Linked DNA regions of Alligator mississippiensis. The protein of the gene in region 1 interacts with the protein of each later gene in a pairwise test. Links are inferred from orthologs where the notes say so. Each region holds a gene or a part of one and is shown on either strand. Other genes may lie near its edges.

Region 1 (10,205 bases):
AAATAGTCTTGAAATATACTGTGAAATATTGTCTGACTCCTGCAAAAATTTTCACGGTAACAATACAGAGCTGGTTTTCAAAATATAAATTATCTACTATAAAACCAGGAAAAAAAACCCAAATATTTTGTCTAGCAAATTGTAATTCAATTATGGCAATTATAACAAGTATATTTAAAAGTGTTTGGAACCCTTTAGCCTAAACAAAACTTTCTGAAGTTTGTGGTTTGCTCAACTCACAACACAGATACAATTATGGTGCAGTATGTTTAAAGTTCACAAACTTCAATCATCTAAAGCACATAACAAAGAATTGTTACTACCTAAAAACTTGCCTTCTATCTTAAGAATCCATAAATTCTTCTTATGGCCCCGATGACACCAAACTTCCCTTTTATTTCTCCTACTAAAAACTAATCAACAAGATGGCAATTTGCTGCCAGTTTCCTGTGGCTGCAGACTTATTGCAGTAATTCTAGCAGCCTCTTCCCTCAAATAGTAACATACCATCAATGAGCAAAGGCACAAATATAGCCCTGCCCCAGCTGTCCTTCAGCTTTATGCTACTTAAATGTCTCCAGAGAGAATGTCATATGCTGAAAACCTGCTTTGAAAGTTCTCAGGCATTCCCAGGCTTGAAGTACTTTAAACTATTATACAACTCCCCCTTAAAAATAGAGAACCTCTTTGTTCTCTGAACTGTTATTAAAGTAATCTGAGATGTCTTGTCACTGAATCTAGACATATTTCTAAGATTACAGTTCAAGAGCAAGCAAAAATCTCTTACCTTACATTAGGAACCTAGATTTTGCCAAACAAATTCAGATACACAAACACAAACAGTAGCACTGAACCAGCTAATGTTAAATATGGTATGTTAAATTCTTTATTCTTTATTGAGTTTAGTGGACAGCAAGATCAGATTCTAGAAAATATTATGGTTCAGGCAAGCAATGTGTCATCATCATCCTGTAGTAGAAGCCTGCATTGACTGCATTTAATAGGAGGGAGCTGATGTGAGAAAACAACCAGGTAACGTTAACAAGGTAGAGATCTGGATGCAGTGGCCAAGGAGAATCCTAGATGACAGGAGACGTCTATCTTTACAGCCATTGAGATCCTGTCATCATCTTCTGCCTGATCTGCTGTTGAGTACTTGGGGTTGGACTGTAGTTTATCTGAAACCTCCCGTCAGGCCTGTTCACCATGGGTGACCCTGCCAAAAGTGCAAGACCTAGCTCTGAGGAACAATGGGACACACAAGCTGCTCCATCTCTACAAGATCTGGGTTCATGGTATTAAATATGTTTATTTATATTAATATCAATATATGCACCTTGCAAATACCTGGAAGCTGAAAATAGCAGAGAAAATGGCTAAATGCAGAGAAAATGGCTGACTAGATAAGTGAAATGTCTTATCAAGAGAAAATGACTTTGCACTGATTAATCCCATTAAAAGACATTGCATAAATCATAATAATAATAACAATAGAGATTACAATAGCATTTTTAGGTAATGTCCAGTCAACAACACTGACATCTTAACTCGAACCCTGGCACTGATCTGCTTGCAAAGAAGCCATGAGCAAGCATTAATCACAGAAATTGAATGTATTTAAGAACATTGCAGATAACTTGCAGTTGGACAAACTGGTGAAATTCCTTCACTATTCATCCATCTCGGTGTCTGTATGAATCTTGAACAGCTGGAAGGGCCAGTGTAGTTATAACAACTTTGACAAGCTGTATTCTGTTTCACTGGACAAAAGGGAAAAGGTTCTGCTTCTTTCTTTTCCTCCTTTGATTTTTATTTCTTCCTCCCTTCAGTTTGTTTTCCTCTAAATGATGAGTTGTGGATGCAGGGACTTTTCTTGTGACCTCATGAGTGTCTCTAGCACTTGGGTGCCCATTTTAAATGGATTATGAAGATGAAAAGCATGAGCAGAACTTCAAATGGTGTAGAGCTGCCTGATTCTTTGAAGTAGTAAACAAGGACAGTAGGTCTCACAGAGGTATATTCCTTTCATTTATGTCAGTGGGGTTTTAATACTGAACATTAAAGAGGGCAGTATAAATATCATCACTGTTAACCTTTTCCGTACTAATTCCGTCAATAACATCTAGATGCTCTGGGATGGCAGACACTCTTTTTCTCATTCTGAGCACCATCCACATCACCTTTCACCCCAAAGCTGTCATTTCTAGCAGCCCCATCCCAGTAAGACCAGACTGGTGTATTTAAATACAGAAAAAGCAGCACCAAGTTCTGGCTGAATGACAAATATCATCTGTATGTTTTGCAGCAGTCTTCCATCCATCAGATAAACCTGCCAAACGACATGCTTTATAAAGCCTTACAAAGGTACGATAGAGCATACCATAACTGCTGCCTACCGGCCTATTCATTCCATAAACACATGAGGCAAGGCCTAGGCACACAGCCCAACTCTTCAGGTTTTAGGGATGACTCCATGGGATCAGTTATCTTGCAAGGTGATACCCTGCAGCAAAGGTGCATGCTTCACCTTCCCTGCCAGCAAAGGGAAGAAGGGACTGATTGAAACATAGAAGGGTTGGAAGCTGAACCAAGAAAAGGGCTAAAGACTACCGAGGAGCAGAACAGGCAATAAGAGAAAGCTATTCCCAGGAACAGTTTGGAGAGAAAGTTTTGGTTCTGTTTGCTTTTTGGACACTGATGCCAGCAGGGGTGGATTTCTGCACCTCAGTGCCCTAACTGCTGAAGGACCCTGGGGTGGGGTGAGGAGAAGGCAGGAGGATGAGGGACAGCAGGATGGCCATGCTTCAGTCATTTGTATTAGAAGCAGTAGTGGATGCATGCACTATTTCTCAGTAAATGTTCCAGTCACATAACTCCCCTCAACATAAAAGTGAAGGGCACCCATCCCTCTCCATTTCCTACGTGGATTATTTGTGCTCAAGCAATTCCTCAGGGGCTGCAGATGTTTGCTGTGCTCCCATGCTCTGCTTCTGAATTAAACCTAGGAGAACTAACCATGTTTAACAAAGTGCACAGAGGCAGGTCCCTGTGTTGGTCTCAGCAGCAGCAGCATAACTAGCACGTGGTGACTGGGGCCACTGGCCCAGGTGCCAGCACAGTGGCAGGGAAAGGGCAGAAAAATAACACTGCCCAACACAGCTGCACAACAGCACCGGTGGCACGGCAGCCACCAGACACTGCCAGTGCCCCTGTGCAACCTGCTGTCCCTGGGTGCCCGGCTGCCCTCTCACACCTCTGGGTGTCAGATCAAGTGCAAGGCTGGGCAAAGGGCAACTGGGGCAGCCCATGACTCTGAACCAGCTAGAGAGGGAGGGAGGGAGGCAGGGAGAGACAGTGTGTGTGGAAAGGGGAATTGTAGTGCTCTGTGTGGTGTGTCTAGAGGGGAATTGTAGTGCTGTGTGTGTGTGTGTGTGTGTGTGTGTCTAGAGATTTGTGGTGGTGTGTGTGGAGCAGAGGGTGGTTCTAGTACTGTGTGTGAGTGTGTAGAAAGAGGTTGAGGGGGGGTGGAGGTTATAGTGCTCTGTGTGGCAGGGTGTTTGTAGAGGGGGTTGTAGTGGTGGGAGTGTGGGTGGAGGTGTAGTGCTGTGTGTGTGTGTGTGTGTGTGTGTGTGGAGGAGATTGTAGTGGTGGGTGTGTGGGTGGAGGTGTAGTGCTGTGTGTGTGTGAAGGGGGTTGTAGGTGTGGGTGGAGGCGGGGTGTAGTGGTGTGTAGGGGGAACCCTCCAGTGCTGCGCTTTCAAGTACAACCCTCCCCCGCAGTCCACAAGCACCTGCCCTCACTCGTCACTTGCAGCAGCAGCTCCCTCTTGCCCCCTTCCTCCTGCACCTTTACGTCACTTCCGGGGGTAACTCTTTGGCTCCTCCCCCCAAGTGAAGCCACCAATGGGCAGCCTCGGCCGCGGTGACGGTGCCCAACACCCGCCAGCCCAGGCCATGTCACTTTCCCTTCCGCCGCCCCGCGGGGCGCGGGGGCAATGGCGGCGGCGGCGCAGCCCGACAGCCTGGAGGGGTGGGTGGCCGTGCGCCAGGCCGCCTTCGCCGAGCCGGAGCCGGGCGCGCTGCGCTTCCTCGTGGGCTGGAACGCGGCCGAGGCCCAGTTCGCCGTGACGTGCCACAGCCGCGCGGGCCGGGGCGGCCCGGGGCCGGGGCCGGGGCCGGGGCCGGGCGAGGCGGCGGCGGCGGCGGCGGCGGAGCGCAGCTGGGCCGGGCTGTTCTCGGCGCGGGCGCTGCTGGGCGTGCACCGGCAGCTGGCGGCGCTGAGCGCGGGCCTGGAGCCCTGCTTCCCGCCGCTGCCGCCCGCGCTGCTGGAGGGTCGCGCCCGCGGGCTGTGGGCGCTGCTGTTCGCCGCGGGCCCGGCCGAGGAGGAGGCGGCGGCCATGGACGAGCTGTGCCGCCGGCTCGAGCGCTACCTGGCGCGGGCGCTGGACCTGTGCGGCCGCCGCCTGGTGCTGGACGCGCTCTTCGCCCGCGACCCGGACTCCGCCTACTGCGAGCCGCTGGCCGAGCTGCGCCGCGCTGCCCTGCAGGCCCGCCTGGCCGCCGCCACCCAGGCGCTGCGCACGGTACGGCCGGGGCTCGGCCCAAGTCCTGGCCCCCGGGCCACGCCACCATCGGAGCCGAAGCCAGGCCCAGGCGCCCCCCACGGCCGGGACCAGGCCTGGTCTCTGCTCTGCTCCCTGCAGCCCGGAGGGGCTTTCCCCCTCCCCAGGGCAAGGGCTGCCTGTGCTTCCCTGGCCCAGGGAGAGCCTGGCTGACTGAACTCGCCTCACATAAAGTGCACAGAGGCAGTTCCCTGTGTTGGTCTCAGCAGCAGCATAACTACCGCCTGGTGACTGGGGCAGCCAGCCCAGGTGCCACCCTCAGCGCCCTGGGGAGCGCAGCCTGGTCTTCCCAGGGCTTGAGGCAACCCTCAGGCCCCCAGAGCACCTCCTGGGGTGGCAGGAGAGTGCAAGCAGCTGGGGCAGTCTGCAGGGGGAACGTGCACCCCTGGTGATAAAGCAGCAGAGTCTGTTCCTACCTTGTTGCACCGCTGATTTGCCTTTCATGCAGTACAGCAACGGGAACCGATGCCTGTTGCCTTAGTGCCTGCACTGCCACAGAAATTTTGATGGCACAAATGAGACGTTGGGCAACACTGGTTTTCACCCCTCATGTGCAAAGGAGTGGGCCATATAGCTATTTTGGTGCAAGTCCTATTCTGGCCTAATCAGGGCTACAACAAACTGGCTGGCTATTTTCACAGCCTGACAGGTTAGAAGTGACCTGGCAAAATGGAGCAAGACAGATGGCTCCACAGGTGCTTGCCTGAGGGAGAAGTGCTGGGCCTGAGGTGATCTTGGTGACTGTGGCTCAGAGGCACACTGCGCTAGGCAGCAGCAAAAACAGACTGTTGGTCTTATGTGGCCCTGAGGAGGCCAAGACACAACTCCCAACAAGACCAGATGCAGCCCAGCCAGTCACATCAAATGACAAATTGAATTAACTCTGCCTCAGAAGGATCATTGCTAATTCAAAAAAATTGTATGTAATGTGGGACATTGAGATTAGTTGTCTGTAAGATTTAGACTTGATGTAACACAAAATGTTCTGGTGTGAATCAAGCTAGTTATCTGGTTGGGTTTTTTTAGCCTAGTGGAGCTACCCTGACTCCGGACTAGTGGGGAACTACTGCTCTCCAAGCTGGCTTTCAGTGAGGGGGTGGCACTGTTGAGGCATAGCTAGAACAGCCACTGGAGCTAGAGGAAAGTGCAACCAGTCAGCGAGTGCTCCTCAGCCTGGTTACAGTGGGGGCTCCCTAGGAAATGTCAGCTCTGAGCTTATACTTGTTTTTGACTACTGAAAAATAGAGCAATTATTCTGTTGCAAAAAGCCAAGAAGCCCCCTCTCCCCACAAATCATCCTTGAGAGGATCTCAAGGCGCCCTAGGATGCCAGGACAACCCTGAGTTAGTGTTTGTCTGATCACATATTCCTTGTCTATCCAAAAACAGCAAAGTGACCATGGTTGAGTAGTGTAGACTTCTTCAGGCTTAGTAGCATGCAGTTGAAGTAGATTTCAAGTAGACAGTACACATGCATGTTTTGAGGTATTTAGCTGAAACTTTAAGACTACCAGAACTTGAGTGCTAAAAAAAAAAAAAAATACCAACCACCTATGCCGAAAGAACATCCAGTGTTGCATCTGCCAAAAACAAAATAACACAACACTCTTAATCAGTAGTACTGTAATAATTTAATCTCTTTTCTTCCCTGAAATCTGTCTTTGATGTAAAATACAGTGGTGCATTTGTATTGGTGAGGGTTTTAAATGCCTCGCTGGCTGTGGACATATGGCAAATGCTTGATTTGAGGGGGCGCAACAATCTTTTTCTGTCTAATGCAAAATTCTGGCCTAAGTGCATTATAGGTCTTTCTTCCTATACCAATAAAAGTATTTCTGGTTTAAGGGGAAAAAAAAAGCCATCTTCTGATACCTGAGCAGACCAATGAAAGCAAGAAAAGATTCTTTCCTAATTAAAGGAAATGTTGAGAGTCTGTTCCTTATTAGGTGAGGGTTAAGCAGTTGAGGTATTTTGCTTTGTAAATAATCCCCTTTAAGAGCACAGCTGCAGGTAGTCCATTGCTTTGTTAAAAACAATTAGTGGCATGACCAATTATGCTGTATCCATACAACTACTTAACAATTTAACTTCTTCAGAACAAGGGGATGGGAGGTGTTTCAGGACTACTGTACTTTTGCAGGGGGAGAATCAGCACTGGCCTAGTGCTTTACACAACCTGATACATTTCATTGTTTAAAGGGTGTAATAGGATTTAAAATTTTCCCAGAACACTATTGAAAAAGATAAGTCTATTAGAGATGATACTCAGGTTTGGTTGTTGCACTGTAATGCCTACTATAACTGGATTGCTAGAATAAGCAGGGTCAGAAGTGTGGCATCATATTAAAACATGATTTGGGTTAATTTTTCTTTTTGCAAAAGGTACCAGCAGCACCTAGAAGTATATTTCTGAACCATACATCAGCTTTGGTTTTTAGCATGCTTGGTGAAAACGTTTACAACAGCTTAGTTCTGGCAATGTGGAGACATGGCTAAAGCATCTCCTGACACAACATTACTTGTATCTTCAGGCTTTGCAAATGCTGATGAAGTAATGCCCATGAGGTAACCACCTGCATCTTAGAGGCAAGGTAGTTGAGGCACAAAAAATCACTTATTTCCCCAAGGTTGCATAGGAATTCTGAAGCAAAGGCAACTATAAAACCCATAGCTTTTGACTCAAAATTGATATAAACACAAGGGCATTCTCTTCCTATTTTTATAGCCATATAGTAAATGAAAATATTCTGCTTTGCCTTCCCAGATACCTCAGCCCATCAGAGGGGGGGAGGACAACTCAGCATGAAATAATACTATTTTCCTAAGTCAAGTTCACTGGAAAAAAACCAGCAATACCAGTAGTAGCAGTATAGTTAGTGGTGAGCTAGACTTCTAGAAAGTGAAGTGTCACAGGGAGTGGCTTACAAAATCTAAGCTGAATAAAAAACATGCTTGGGGAGAAAATTTTGCTCCTGTTACTTTCCCCAAATGTAAATGTTCTCCAGCAGGGGCATGACCACATCCCCCTCCCATGCTTTGGGACTGTGCATGAGAACCAGAAAGGAAAACCAAAGGGTTTTTTTTTCATGACATACATTTTTTCACTTGGCTCAAATAATGGGGGGAAAAAATCCAAGCTTCTCACTGCGGTGTGACCCTTGGGAGGCTTGCCTAAGTTATGGCAGAGAGAGGCAGTTACCTGTATGAGTCTGAAGTTGGGGAAAGGCAGGATAGATTTGTACCTTATAGGCTACTGAAATCAGAGATGCCTAAAGCCTTTGTAAGCTGTGGCTTGTTTTTAACAGATGCTATGATGACCCTCAGAGCATTTGATGAAGCAAGGTACTGCTTAAGAAAGCTTAGATATCTCCATTTTCATTAGTCTTTAAGGTGCAAACCTATCCTGCCTTCTCCTTAAGTTAGGGCAGCCTCCAGGGACTATCCCCCGCGAGCCATAGCACTTCCTGTAGTATAAGGCCTGGCTTCTGACATGGCCAGCATGCTTGTGAGAAAATAGTTGGAAGACAGAAGTTGCATTGTAGGTATTCTGTCCTAGCCAGACCTTAGCTTCTAAGCACCCTTTTTTCCCCAGGGTCATTTGGGAAGACAGAGTCAAAGGTCTCACCCCATTGTTTTCAATAGGAACACAGTTGAGCCCGCATTTTCCAAAGATTTCTTCTTTCCCTCCTCTGCGTAAAATCCCAGTATCCAAACCAACAACCTTTCAGGACCCTACCTCATTTCTCATGGAGCTTACCTCAGCTTAATTAGCATAAAAAGCAACATTTGTGTTTGCTGGCAAATACCACTGTCGAATTTAGCTGCTCTCAGATGAATTTGAAAAAACTCTGTCATCAGTAAATCATGGCCTCATGTCTAGTGTGGGACTAATCTGTGAAAATCTCTAGCACACTATTAAATTGTGCAAGTTTTCAAAACCTGTATGGCAGACACACAAAAAACCTCATGAGAGTGGGACCCTAGGGATTAGGTGTGATACAGACATGTATTAAAAGACAGTTTGAATATGTATGGAAGAAATAAAGGTTAAAATTCACATAATTGGTATTGTTAGGTTAGGTTCCTGTAGTATAAGAATGCCATGTATCTTTAGGATTATAACTGTAGGTTACTCTAGAACAGGGGTGGCCAATCTGAGGCATGAGTGTGACAAGTGACATGAGCAGCCTCTGCATGTGGCACACAGCAGATCGGGAAGGGGACAGGTGACAAGCAACAGATCAGGCGGAAGCACAGGCCAAGAAGCAGAAAGAAGAGCAGCAGATTGGGAAGAGGAAGTAGGGATCAGAGTAGCACTCAGGAGGGCGCAGTAATAATTTGTGGCATATCTGCAAAAAAAAAAAAAAAAAAAAGTTGCCCCTCATTGCACTAGAAGTTCAAAGGAGAAGTAGTCCAGGTCTGAAAGTCAGTGTGTTCATGCTTAGGGTCAGATTTTTGCTTATCATAGCTCATTTCTTATTACTAGGCATTTTGTAGGCCTGAGGGGAACAATGCAATAATTAGTTTTTAAAGGAATACCTTATTTGACCTACAAAGTGCATCTTTTCTGCTTACCCTGTGAATCTTCATATTTATAATGTGGACAAAATCCTCTGTGCACATCTATCAGAATTTTTACAATAAGAAGTGGTCAAGGCATCATTGTGCAGTCATTCTTCACGTGCAATATGTAGTAATTAGTGCCCTCAAGAAACTGTCATCAGTGATATTTCTTATTGGGGAATAATTGCCAATACCTGGACTACATCTCCTCATAACTGGAAGTCTTGGCTATTTCATGTAACAACAAGTGATTGGTTCTTTCTGCTGAAGTATGCCAGTGTTGTAATGTACACAAATGCAAAAGGCAATCTTTGAGAGACTGTCATGTTTTGCCCAGAAACAGAAGTACTGCAGCTGAGACTAACTCTCAAACCTTTTATCTGCTAGGTTCTTCAGCGGCATAAAAATGCTGACACAATGGTAGCTTTAATGAAGGTTTATGAAGAAGAAGATGAGGCTTACTGGGATTTAGTTACTATGGCAACACAATTCTACCAATATTTACTGCAGCCCTTTAGAGATATGAGAGAATTGGCAACGTTGTACAAGCTGGAAATCCTGGTAGGTATTCCCTTTGAGGACAAAAATCAAATCAGGTGTAGCACTGCACCTGCCCACTGGGCAGTTTTGGCCCCCAAATTGCTTAAGTGTCTTTAAGTCCCCAGATTTTGTCTTCCTTTACTCCCTCTGTCCCCAAGCCCACAAAATTTATGATTGACTTGATAAAACCCTGAAGAATTCAAAGTTACAGCTGATCTATCCTCAGAGGATGTGTAGAATCTGTGGTATACAGCTGAATAGCAGCAACTCAGCCAATGTTTTCAGTTGGCTTTTCACTAACATCTTTTTTTATTTTCTCCATCCAGTTCCTCACCCTGTTCTGCTCTCTGGAATTTTTCCCCCTGGTATTCATTCTCTGTTCACAGGGACCTGAGCCACTTATGAACATGAGATACATTAACTTTCTGAGGGATCTGTGCTTCTATATCGCATGGAAAAGCTCATCCAATGTCAATATTTTC
Region 2 (9,812 bases), on another chromosome or scaffold:
CTTTGCTGCGGGAACACACTGGGTTTGTGTGTCAGAATGGGCAGGCGCCCCCCGAGCCTTGCTGACTCTAAATGTGAATCTGATTTATTTATTCCTTTAAAAAAACAAAGAAAAAAGCTCAGCAGCCTGCAGATGGGTTTGTCTAAAAGAGAAGCTGCTGCGCCTGCCCCCCTGCACCTGGTTAGCCCCCAGTTCACCCAGCTGCATCAGTGTTCAGCACCTGCAGCGTCGCATAAAAGAACAATACGGCCTCTGTATGGCAGTGCCATGCAACACGGCCTGCTATGGACTAGTATTTTAATATCCACGTCTTAGAAGCCTCTAAATCAATTGGAAGAGCTGCTTTTGGCCCAAGGAGCCATCCGATATCTCAAAAGGTGCACACTAGCACCGGAAGTCCCATGCATCATTGTATGTCCCGTGTTCCTACTTCCATAACGATTCTCGGGGAACTTTAGGTGCTTTGAAGCTTTGCAGCTCTGTTGGAGGAAATCCGTTCTATTTGCAGAAGTTTTAACGGCGTGTTGGCACAGTGAGAGCCAGCCGGTCTGCCAGTGCTTGGCTTCCCAGGGGCCTTGCCAAGCTGACTGACATTTGGCCATTGTGCTAGTTTGCAGGTGTCTCAGATCAGTGCCTTTTGGATCTGATCCAAAGACTATTTGAAGCCAATGGGAGCATTTCCATTGACTTAAATGGATTTTAAATTATAGGTGTTTTCCTCTCTAGTATAAAGAGACCCTAAGGTATGCAGAGCCTACAAAGACTGTGAAGGTGAAGGCTCTGTTTATAAGTTTGAATGTCACGGCTTTACAAAAGAACCCTGATATTAGGTGCCTTTCTTGAGATGTTGCTTGGAAGAGGTGAGATTGGCAACACAACACGTAGGTGCCGGCTGTTTCATGCAGACACTGGGAAGGTGCAGTGACAAATCAGTAGGAAGCTTTTGTTTTGCTTCTAGCCTGATGTTTTGCTGGGGAGTTTTGAATGCTTTCCTATGCCCTTGGCACTTCTTAGAGCCCTGCTTGAATCTTAGGTAAGATTTTCAACCCACGTCCCTGCGTGTAAAGGTCAGAATGCGGCATGGCTAAAATGCACGGCGACTTTGGTATAATTTGAGGCTGCCAGGAGGTGATGGAGATTTGTTCTGCCTTTTGCTCTAGCACTGCAAAGGAAGCACTAATCTGGCCAGTCCTTGCCGCCTTGCATTTCCCACAGCAAGGCCCACAGAGAAGATCCTGAGCTAGTGCAAACTAACGGTGCTGTGGAAGGCACTGGGGCTGTTGACAGCTCAGAAAAAACTAAGGTTAGATCCTCACTGGAGAAACATAGTCTGTGCGCTGAAGCTGCGTTAACCTGACGTCAGAAAGCAGTGGTGTAAAAAGTCCTAGTTTCTTCCCAGCTTTGGGCCGTGCCGCTGCAATTCTGTGACCAGGAGGGTGGTCTGTCTCGTAGGAGTTCGGCAAGAATCTCGCTCGCAAGTGAGAAGCACTTGGAGTTGGGAGGCGCTCCTCTCCTCCGGAGCTCTCCAAAAGGCAGGAAACAACCCGCTCTGGAAAGCTGTTTGCATCCCTTTCCGTGGCAGTAGAGTCTGACAAGAAGCCAGGTGCAAAGCTGTCTGGTTTGTACGGTGAGAAGGGAGCAGGGCCTGGAGTCGGCATGACGTCTGAGGCGCAGTGGTGGGGCTTTGCAGGCAGATACTTTCGAAGGGTCACAGTCCACAGTGTGTGGCACAGAGCAGTCACGGAGCAGCATTAACAGGCCACTTCTGGGACAGACTCTTGGAGGCTACGTAATGCCTGCAGTGGTGTAATGCTGCTGTGGTCGTGGGCGTCACAGTTGTTACTACAGCCGCCCGAAGACAGGCAGATGCTAATTCTCATCACTGTCTCAGATGGCTCCCACCAACACCCCAGTATTATTTCTCTCCAGCCACGCTGTCTGCCAAGGAAGCAGGCTTCGGACCTTGCTGCGCACAGAGTTGGCTGCAGTCTTTCTTTGCATGTCATCACGGAGATGTGTTACCTGGCAGCCACTCCCCTCCTTGTCACTCACCCCTACACCAGGTGATTGTATCTCCGAGAAACAATAGCGCGGCCTCCAAAAGGAAGAGCAAGAATCCTTTGTATGCTTTTAATCTATAGCGTTAAATAATTCACCAAGCCTAATTCTGGCATTTATAATGTAATAGGGCCAATGTAACCTGATGTGAGCGCCCTGGGAAATGCTTCCTGAACAATCAGGTCTCTAAGGTTGAGCTGCAGACGAGCACGTGGCAGGTTCCCACAGCCGTGGTCAGGACTGAAACTCCGGAGCAGAGGGAAGAACCACGGGAACCGTGTCAGGAAGAGAAGGCAAATGCCAGTGTTACTGGAAATGGAAACGGCTCTCAGGGATTAGCAGCTTTTGTGGGAAGCCTCCAGCCACAGGTCACGTCTGACCCTTTCTCAAGCTCAGCCATAGCTGGGACTTGACCCTCTAGCAGTCCTCTCTGCCTTTGCTGGGGGTCCTTCCCCCAGTTTTACATAATGCCCATTGTTTTGGGCTTGCAGTGAGATGACAACCAGCCCAGGACAGTGTGCGCTGCACCCATCTACATGCCATGTTTTAATCTGGGCATAGAAGCAACTCTTCCCTGCAAATGTGTCGAACCCATTTTCTCATAGCAGTTTCATGGGAATTTCTCAAGGGGTGGTCCACAAAACAGAGAATTGTTCACCTTGAGTCAGAGGAGAAGAAAACAGCCTTTTCTGATGCCCACTGTCAGTAAAGGGAAGCAAGAAAATCAGGATCTTGGTATCTAGCCACGTGTTCGACCAGAGCCTGAGAGGTCTGCCTGTACGATGAAGACATCTGTGCTGGGTTAGGAACAGCGCATCCTGCACCTGTGCAGGGCGTCGGGGAAATGGCCTGTGTGCTCCCTTCCAGTTCTGTGATTTTAGGAGATCAAATAGCTTATTTCCAGGTAGGCCACTCAGCAGCTTTTAGGTGGTGCATCTTCTGGTGCCCACTAGTCTAAGCTAGTGCTGACCAATTAATCTGCTGTGGAAGCCAGAGGCGTCCCGTCCTGCTACCAAGCCTGTAAGCCCCCAGCCCCTCCTGTCCCCTGAGCTAGTTGACCAGCTTTGATCTGTAAAACCCGCGTAGAGGGGCGACTTGACCCAGCACGTCACAAAGTAATTGTGCAAGATGTAAACTGCCCACTGATGCCATCTAGATGCTGGTGGTACTTAGTGACACTCCCATTCACCTGTCTGTTCCCAATGCTGCCTATCTTTCCTGGACACATGTGGGGACGGGGCAGATTTCCCGTTCCCTGGACACGTGTGGACGGGGACGCTCAATTATTCCACTGCTCGGGGAAAGTCCACTGGAGCGAACAAGTTCCTTCTGATGAACATAGGAGCAGAATCAGCTTAGGAGCCTCTCCCAAACCGTAGTTATTGCTACTTCCAGAAAGGCAGGCCGCTGGACCTGGGATTTCACCAGCTGTGCTCACTGGCACATTTTCTCAGGAAACAAGCACTGACTGATTTTTCCACAAACCAAACAATCTTTATTTAAAATTCCTACCTCTCCTATTGCATATCAGCTAAGCCTTGAAGCCGCTTACAAAGTTATGCCTGCAGCAACATCCCTTCTGTTGTGGAAGCAGGTGAAATCCTGCGTATTAATTAACAATTTAGTTCAAAACTTCTCCGATTGTGATAGTTAAATAAACATGACGGCCTTGGATCCCACCTGCTATTAACAATTAACAAGGTGTATCAGTTGGATGCCTTTCAGACTTGTCAAACGCTGCGCAGAGAGAAACACGCCATAGTATTTTATGGTAGCAGCCAAAACAATATTGTGACTGCGGCGTCCCGAATCATTTTTTCAGGGCGTACAGGACTCCTCCCTCTAAGGTATTGCTAGGGACTACCAGTGCAACGGCTGATTTATTTTGCTAAGAAGTGACAGATGCCTAGCGATCATTTACTGCTCATAAATCATCACTTGTTTGCTCTGCTTTAACAGAGGTATGCCGAAAGAGACCCACTCTTCCAGTCACCAGTGACTGCTTTAAGGTAGCCCAGACATGTTTAAGAGAGAAGAGAGTAAGTTCCCAGCAGTTAAACAGGGCTAGCACTATCTTCTTCACTAGCACGTATCTTCTGTCCAACGCGTTCCCTTCCAAGCAGAGCACCTGAACTGCAGAGGGGAGTTGCTTACAGCGTACAGGGGCCTGGGGAACCATTTAGAAAGGCAGAAACAAAGGAGTTAAAGCCACTGAGCTACAGCAGGATTAAAGGGAAGAGACGTCTCAAAAGCGTAACTTGGAGCTGGCTGTAAAATAGTCCCAGGGTAAATGCATGCGTGGCGCAGCGTCCGCCCAGGAGAGAGGCACTCAGAAACGCTCCATCTGCTTTCGGAGGAAAGCACTGGGCAAGCACGCAGAAACCCAAAGGGAAGTTTCCTGTCGCTCAGATTTCGATGGCTGCCCGGGAGATTTCCCGGGAAGGCTTTACGAGAGACACCTGTGCTTACCTGATTTGACCAGCATTGCTCTGTACAGTCCGGTAGCTCCAGGTGGTACCCTCACCTGGTCCTCCACTCTCTGAGACATGGGGCTGAGATCTTGGGGCTTCCCAGTGTGGCTTGGGCTGAGCGAGCTGCTCCTGTCAGTGCTGTGCGAGCCTAAGTGTGCATGACTTTTGGCTGGGTACTGCTAAGCTCTCTCACTTCTGTAAGACCTTTTCAGAGGGAGCGAGAATAAACAGCCACGTGACCTGAGCCGCTGTATAGCTGCTGCCCTCCCCTGCTGACAAGCACATTCTGCTCTAACAAAACCGTTCCGCTTGGATCTGCACTAGTGCGTTACGGGGGTGTGCGGGGAGCAGCCCATGCTGCCGGGGGGGCAGTATTAACACCTTTGCAAGAGTCCGTTGCCCAGACAGTGAGCTTCCTGGGCAGTGCTGCACGCAGAGCTTACCCCCCCACCCCCACCCCTACCCCCCATTAATTGCTCAGCTCTGGGATGCTTTTCCCCCTTGAGCAAGCAGCAGCCCAGCGTGAAGGAATGAGCTGATCCTTCTCATCTGATAAAACAGCTTCCCATGTGCCAAGCGCCGGGAACAGCAGCTTGGGCAGGAACATTCGCTGCGACTCCCACACTGCGAGCAGCTGCGCTGAGCTGACGGAGGTGCACGAATCTCTGTCTGGCTTGCAGCAAGCTCCTAAATGTGCATTGAGCAGACCTACTTAGCTTACTTAGCTGGGGGGTGGCTGTGGGGGGCCTCGGTAGAAGCCGTTGTGGCTGAGCACCTCGAGTCAGGACTGCCGTGCCGTTGTGAGCCATGATACTGCAGTAGTGTCCCAGCGTGTTGATGGAGACAGCACCTTTTCCAGCCCAGTTACTATCCACAAAGCTAATAGTGCACTGGCGCTGGAGCTAGCCCTGGGGGTGGCATCCTGGGACCTTTGACCCCCAGCTCGCTAAAGGATTGCTCCCTGAGCTGTGAGACAGCAGGAGCTCAGCTGCGAGGGGCACTGCCACCCTTGCCAGCGTACTTCACGGCTAGAAAGGCTCTGGGCTCATCCATGGGGAGAGGGGCTGGGGTAGCAGCAGGGGGTGGGATGAGTCGATAGGGACGTGCGGGTACAGGAAAAGAGGGGGGGGGACAGGAGCATCGGTGTCACACGAGCACAGACAGCAAGCCTGCCTCGGGTGAGAAAGCGAGGGCGTCTCGGAGGCTGACTCAAGGACTGTGGTCTGCTGGTGTTGCTGGATTTGGTGGAGGCCACAGCCCTGCCCTGTGCTGCTGCCCGGTTCCTCTTGCCCCCACCATGCCCTTGCCCTGCAGCTACTGCCCAGGCTTCGCCCCGTCTCCCGCTCTTCCCCTCTGGGTGTAGCGCTTGCCCTGACCTCATCCCTCAGCCTTATGCTTCTGAGGCCAGACAGTCTCCAAGCCTTGCTGCATCATTTGCCACCTGGAAAAAAAGGTGGGGGAGCCATGGAGGGCTTCCCTGCTGGGGTGGCTGTGTCACGGGCTGTCTTGGCAGTGTGGGAGCTGAATGCAGCTTGCACGTGGATCTCCAGCTTGCTGCAATTGTGGCGTAATAACCGCAGGGCTGAAGTGTTGCAGCCTGCTCTGTAGGGGCCGGGACAGAGGGCCACGCTGCGGAGGAGTCCCCAGGTCCCTCCTCCTCCAGGGGCGGTGGGGAGCTCGGCCAGCCTATTCCAGGTGGAGGCGCGTGCTGTCCTCCTCCCCTGCTCACCTGCATTGGCTGGGGCAGGGTGGGGGCCCATGGCACCAGGTCCTCAGATCGCTTGTGCTGTCTCCCGGGGCCAGTCCCCAAGCAGGACAGAGGCCTCCCTGCTCCCTTTCCCTCCCCTCATGCTGCTGTACCAAGCCCCAGTGCGTTAGCCCCACTGTTGCCCGTGGTTTCAGGCTGGTCTGAAATGCCCCCAGGCTGCCCGCTGCACGTTCTCCTCCCCACCAGTGTGGGCCCAGGTTAGCAGCTGGCTAGAAACCTGGTTCTGACCCACCCCCCCAGCGCTTTGCAGCAAGGGGCAGACTCATGCAGGTAGCCCAGCGAGACGTCACGCTGCTTGGTTGAGCTGTGCAAGCCTCGCTGGCCCAGCCTGGCTGGCCCACGTCACTCACCCGAGCTGTTGGTGACATGCTTCCCATTCCCACCATGGAGCAGAGGCTGGAGGGAATATTCTTTCTGCAATGCAAAAGAGAGAGACCTGTGGTGACCGTCCTTTTGTGTGGGAGCAGGGGATGTGCTTCCTCTCCCTCTGAGCCATCCCATGCTGTGGAAGAGCCCCTGGCCTGGCCCTGCACTGCACCCTCACTCAGGTGTTGAAGAGCTACGTGTATGCCATTGCCTAGTGGTGGTGCCTGTATGTACATGTACGTGTGCACTCACACACACGTGCACTCTTACCGTACAACAGGGCTGCATCTGAAGGGCTCTTTCTCTAGGAAACGGCCGTGTTAAAGAAGGCCATCCATTGAAGTCCCACAGTGGGGTCCTGGGACCCCTGGCACATCGGCGGACCTCCACATCTACACTAGCAGTGTGCAATGGCACAGCAAGTTGTCCACTGCCAGTCGCCTTCCCAGAGTCCCACAGCAAGTCAGTGGCCGAAGCCAAGGGTCTTGGCTCCCGGGGAATTGCACTGGCCCTCAGGCCCCTTCCCTCACTGTTAAATTGTTTGCAGTATACGGCTCCAGCATCCACTGTTAACAAAGACTCTCTGATTTAAGCTTCCGTTATACAGGTCCGCTTACTGCAAGCTCAGACCATCTGCTTAAAATGTAAACTGCCCGACAGCACAGCTGAATCCATTCCCGTGTCCGTAAGCTTTCAGGTCTCTCTCGGTGCCTTGCCGGTCCTTCCTGTATTTCCTATTACCCTGTCAAGCTACTAAGTCATCAGGACTGGATTTCTGTCGTAGACTAGCTAGACACGGGGCCAGAAGAGACCTTGGAGGTCAGTCCATTGCTGTGCCCCAAGACAGGCCAGCTGCGCCTGAACCAGTTGATCCCAGTCCTAAGCTACCTCCCAGTTACAGCGCTGTTCCTAACATCTGACCTAACACTTCTTCTTTGATCATTTTGGCTGTTCTCTTCCAGACTCTTTCCAATTGGTCCACATTTTTTTGAGACCCAAAACTTCACCAGCGCTGGGGAGAGCGGAAGGATTATTTCCCAGTCTTGCACACTCTACTCCTGCTTACATGTCCTGATGCATTGTTGGGTTTTTCTTTTTTTGCAGCAACCTGGCATTATTAACTCATTTTCAGGCTGTGATCCGCTATAACCCCCGGATCCTTTTCCGGAAAGCTTCCTTCTAGCCAGTTGCTCCCCATTTTGTATTTGTGCAGCTGACTATTCCTATGCATGGGCAGCACTTTGCGTTTGTCCATTTCTCCAGTTTGTCAGGAACATTTTCTACTCTCATCCTCTCCTCCGGTGTGCCTGCAGCCCCTCCCTGCTCAGTACATTTAATGAGCATGCTCTCCAGTCTAGGATCCAACTCGGTAATGAAAATGTGGACTGGCTGGGCACAGGAGAGACCCTGCAGACCCCACTCGACAGGTCCTTGCAGTTCAGGAGTGATCCATGGATACCTTCTAGAGGCCAGTTTGGCAACCAGCTGCAGTCCCACCTAATGGAAGTGTCCTCTTGAGCACATTTTCCTGGTTTGCTTAAGAGGATATCGTGTGAGACAGTGTCAAAAGCTTTACTAAAGTTCAGATATGTCACGGTTCCTCCTTGTCACAAGGTCTGTTACCCTGTCATAGAGCGAGCCTCAGCTTGGCTTGGCAGGACGTGCTCTTGGCACATCCATGTTGGCTGTTACTTAGCCCCTGATCACTTTCTAGCTGCTTGCAAAGAGTGTTTGATTATTGCTCCAGTATCGTTTTGGGAATTGCACTTAGCCCGTCTTCCCTTTTCCACTGTTTGTGCCCCTTGCCCGGTCACCCGGCGCCTCTCCCATTCTCCGTGCGTCTCGGAGATCACGGCTATCAGCTCTGAGGTGGCTTTGACCAGCTTCCTCAGTGCCGTGGGGAGAAGGATGTCAGACCCAGCTGATTTGGAAACGTCTGTGTTTTCTAAGCAGTCGCCAATCTCCTCCTCACCCCTCGCAGCTTCAGTCCGTGTCGCCCGTGCTGATTGCATTATTAGTCTCTGGTCACACTTTCCCTTTTTAGGGAAGCCTCAAGCAAAAAAGGCATTAAACACTTTGTCCTTCTGGCCATTCTGTGTTATGAATGGTGCCTCCTCGCTGAGTCCTTGGACTTTGTCTGTCTGCTAACATGCTTGTAGGACGGCTCCTCCTCCTGCCCTCTCCTGCCCGGTCTGTGCCTTGGCCTTTCTGCTTTTGTCTCTGCAAGCTTGTGCTTTCCCTTTCTTCTCGTTCTTAGTGCCGTGGCCTGGTGTCTGCCCAAGGAGGGATGGGTGCTGTTGCCTGCCCAGCTCTCGAGGTTATCGTTGCACAGGCCACTGGGTTTGCTGAGCTCTGGATAAGCCAGTTTGCTGGGAGTTTATCAAGGGGAGCACAGCATGGTTTTAAACGTTTCATCGAATCCCCAGGGGATAGTTGCCAAGGTGGAGAGATGTGGGACCATGAAGAAACCATTATCACTGAGCACCTGCTTTGGGTAATCGGTAGGAAAACAGTGGCATTAACATACTAAATACTTTCACAGTTTGACTGTGCCTCCGGGCCCTCAGACAGCCTCACAAGACCACGTGCCCGGATGCCGCCCGAGAGCTCGTCTCCGGCGTGAGGCCACGTGCGCCGTTCTCAGGGGCAGGGATGTGCTGGCCACCCCCGTGCGAAGGCGAGCGATCCTTTTGGGGAGTGAGAGGGACAGAAAAACCTCTGTGGAGCCAGAGCGCGGCGGGGTCTTGCCCCAGACCTGTTCGGCTAGTTCGTGGCTCGAGCCACGATTCACTCTGGCTTCTCCGCGAGTCAACGATTTCAACCTGCGCTCTTAAGTCTCCGGGATTAACAAAAAGCCTTTGTATTTCTCCAGGCTCCCTGAAGGTTACTGTGTCGGTGCCGCTGGTTGCTAGGCGCTGCTTATCTGGAGCCGCTCCTTGAGACAATGCCTGGCAGGGCTTGCAAACTCCCCAGTATCCCTGACCGAGCCGGGGGGCTCCTGCGCTGCCTGCCCCGAGACAACGTGGTACAAAGACAGCCCACCCCAGGGCACTGTCACCGCTCTCGGCTGCTTTTCTCACTTCTTCTATCCCGAATTTGAAGCCGTCACCTAGGATGACATGTTCCTTATGTTGCTTCTTGTATTGGCG

What was found. The genes of interacting proteins can lie anywhere in the genome.
Region 2: the proteins of FSD2 (region 1) and FAM107A interact in binary tests that used the Homo sapiens proteins (3 or more experiments, as listed by UniProt). The two-hybrid records come from large-scale screens. The link is inferred for Alligator mississippiensis from reciprocal best matches to the Homo sapiens genes FSD2 and FAM107A.

The regions. Positions count from the first base shown.
Region 1 is NC_081834.1:18,308,211-18,318,415, reverse strand, and holds the start of FSD2 (fibronectin type III and SPRY domain-containing protein 2), read right to left. Parts: upstream 3,953-10,205; 5' UTR 3,801-3,952; intron 1-3,800. Other genes in the region: WHAMM (WASP homolog-associated protein with actin, membranes and microtubules), read left to right, coding at 3,995-4,582, 9,571-9,744.
Region 2 is NC_081835.1:942,512-952,323, forward strand, and holds the start of FAM107A (actin-associated protein FAM107A), read right to left. Parts: upstream 4,764-9,812; 5' UTR 4,607-4,763; coding exon 4,528-4,606; intron 1-4,527. UniProt on the Homo sapiens protein: Stress-inducible actin-binding protein that plays a role in synaptic and cognitive functions by modulating actin filamentous (F-actin) dynamics. Mediates polymerization of globular actin to F-actin. Also binds to, stabilizes and bundles F-actin.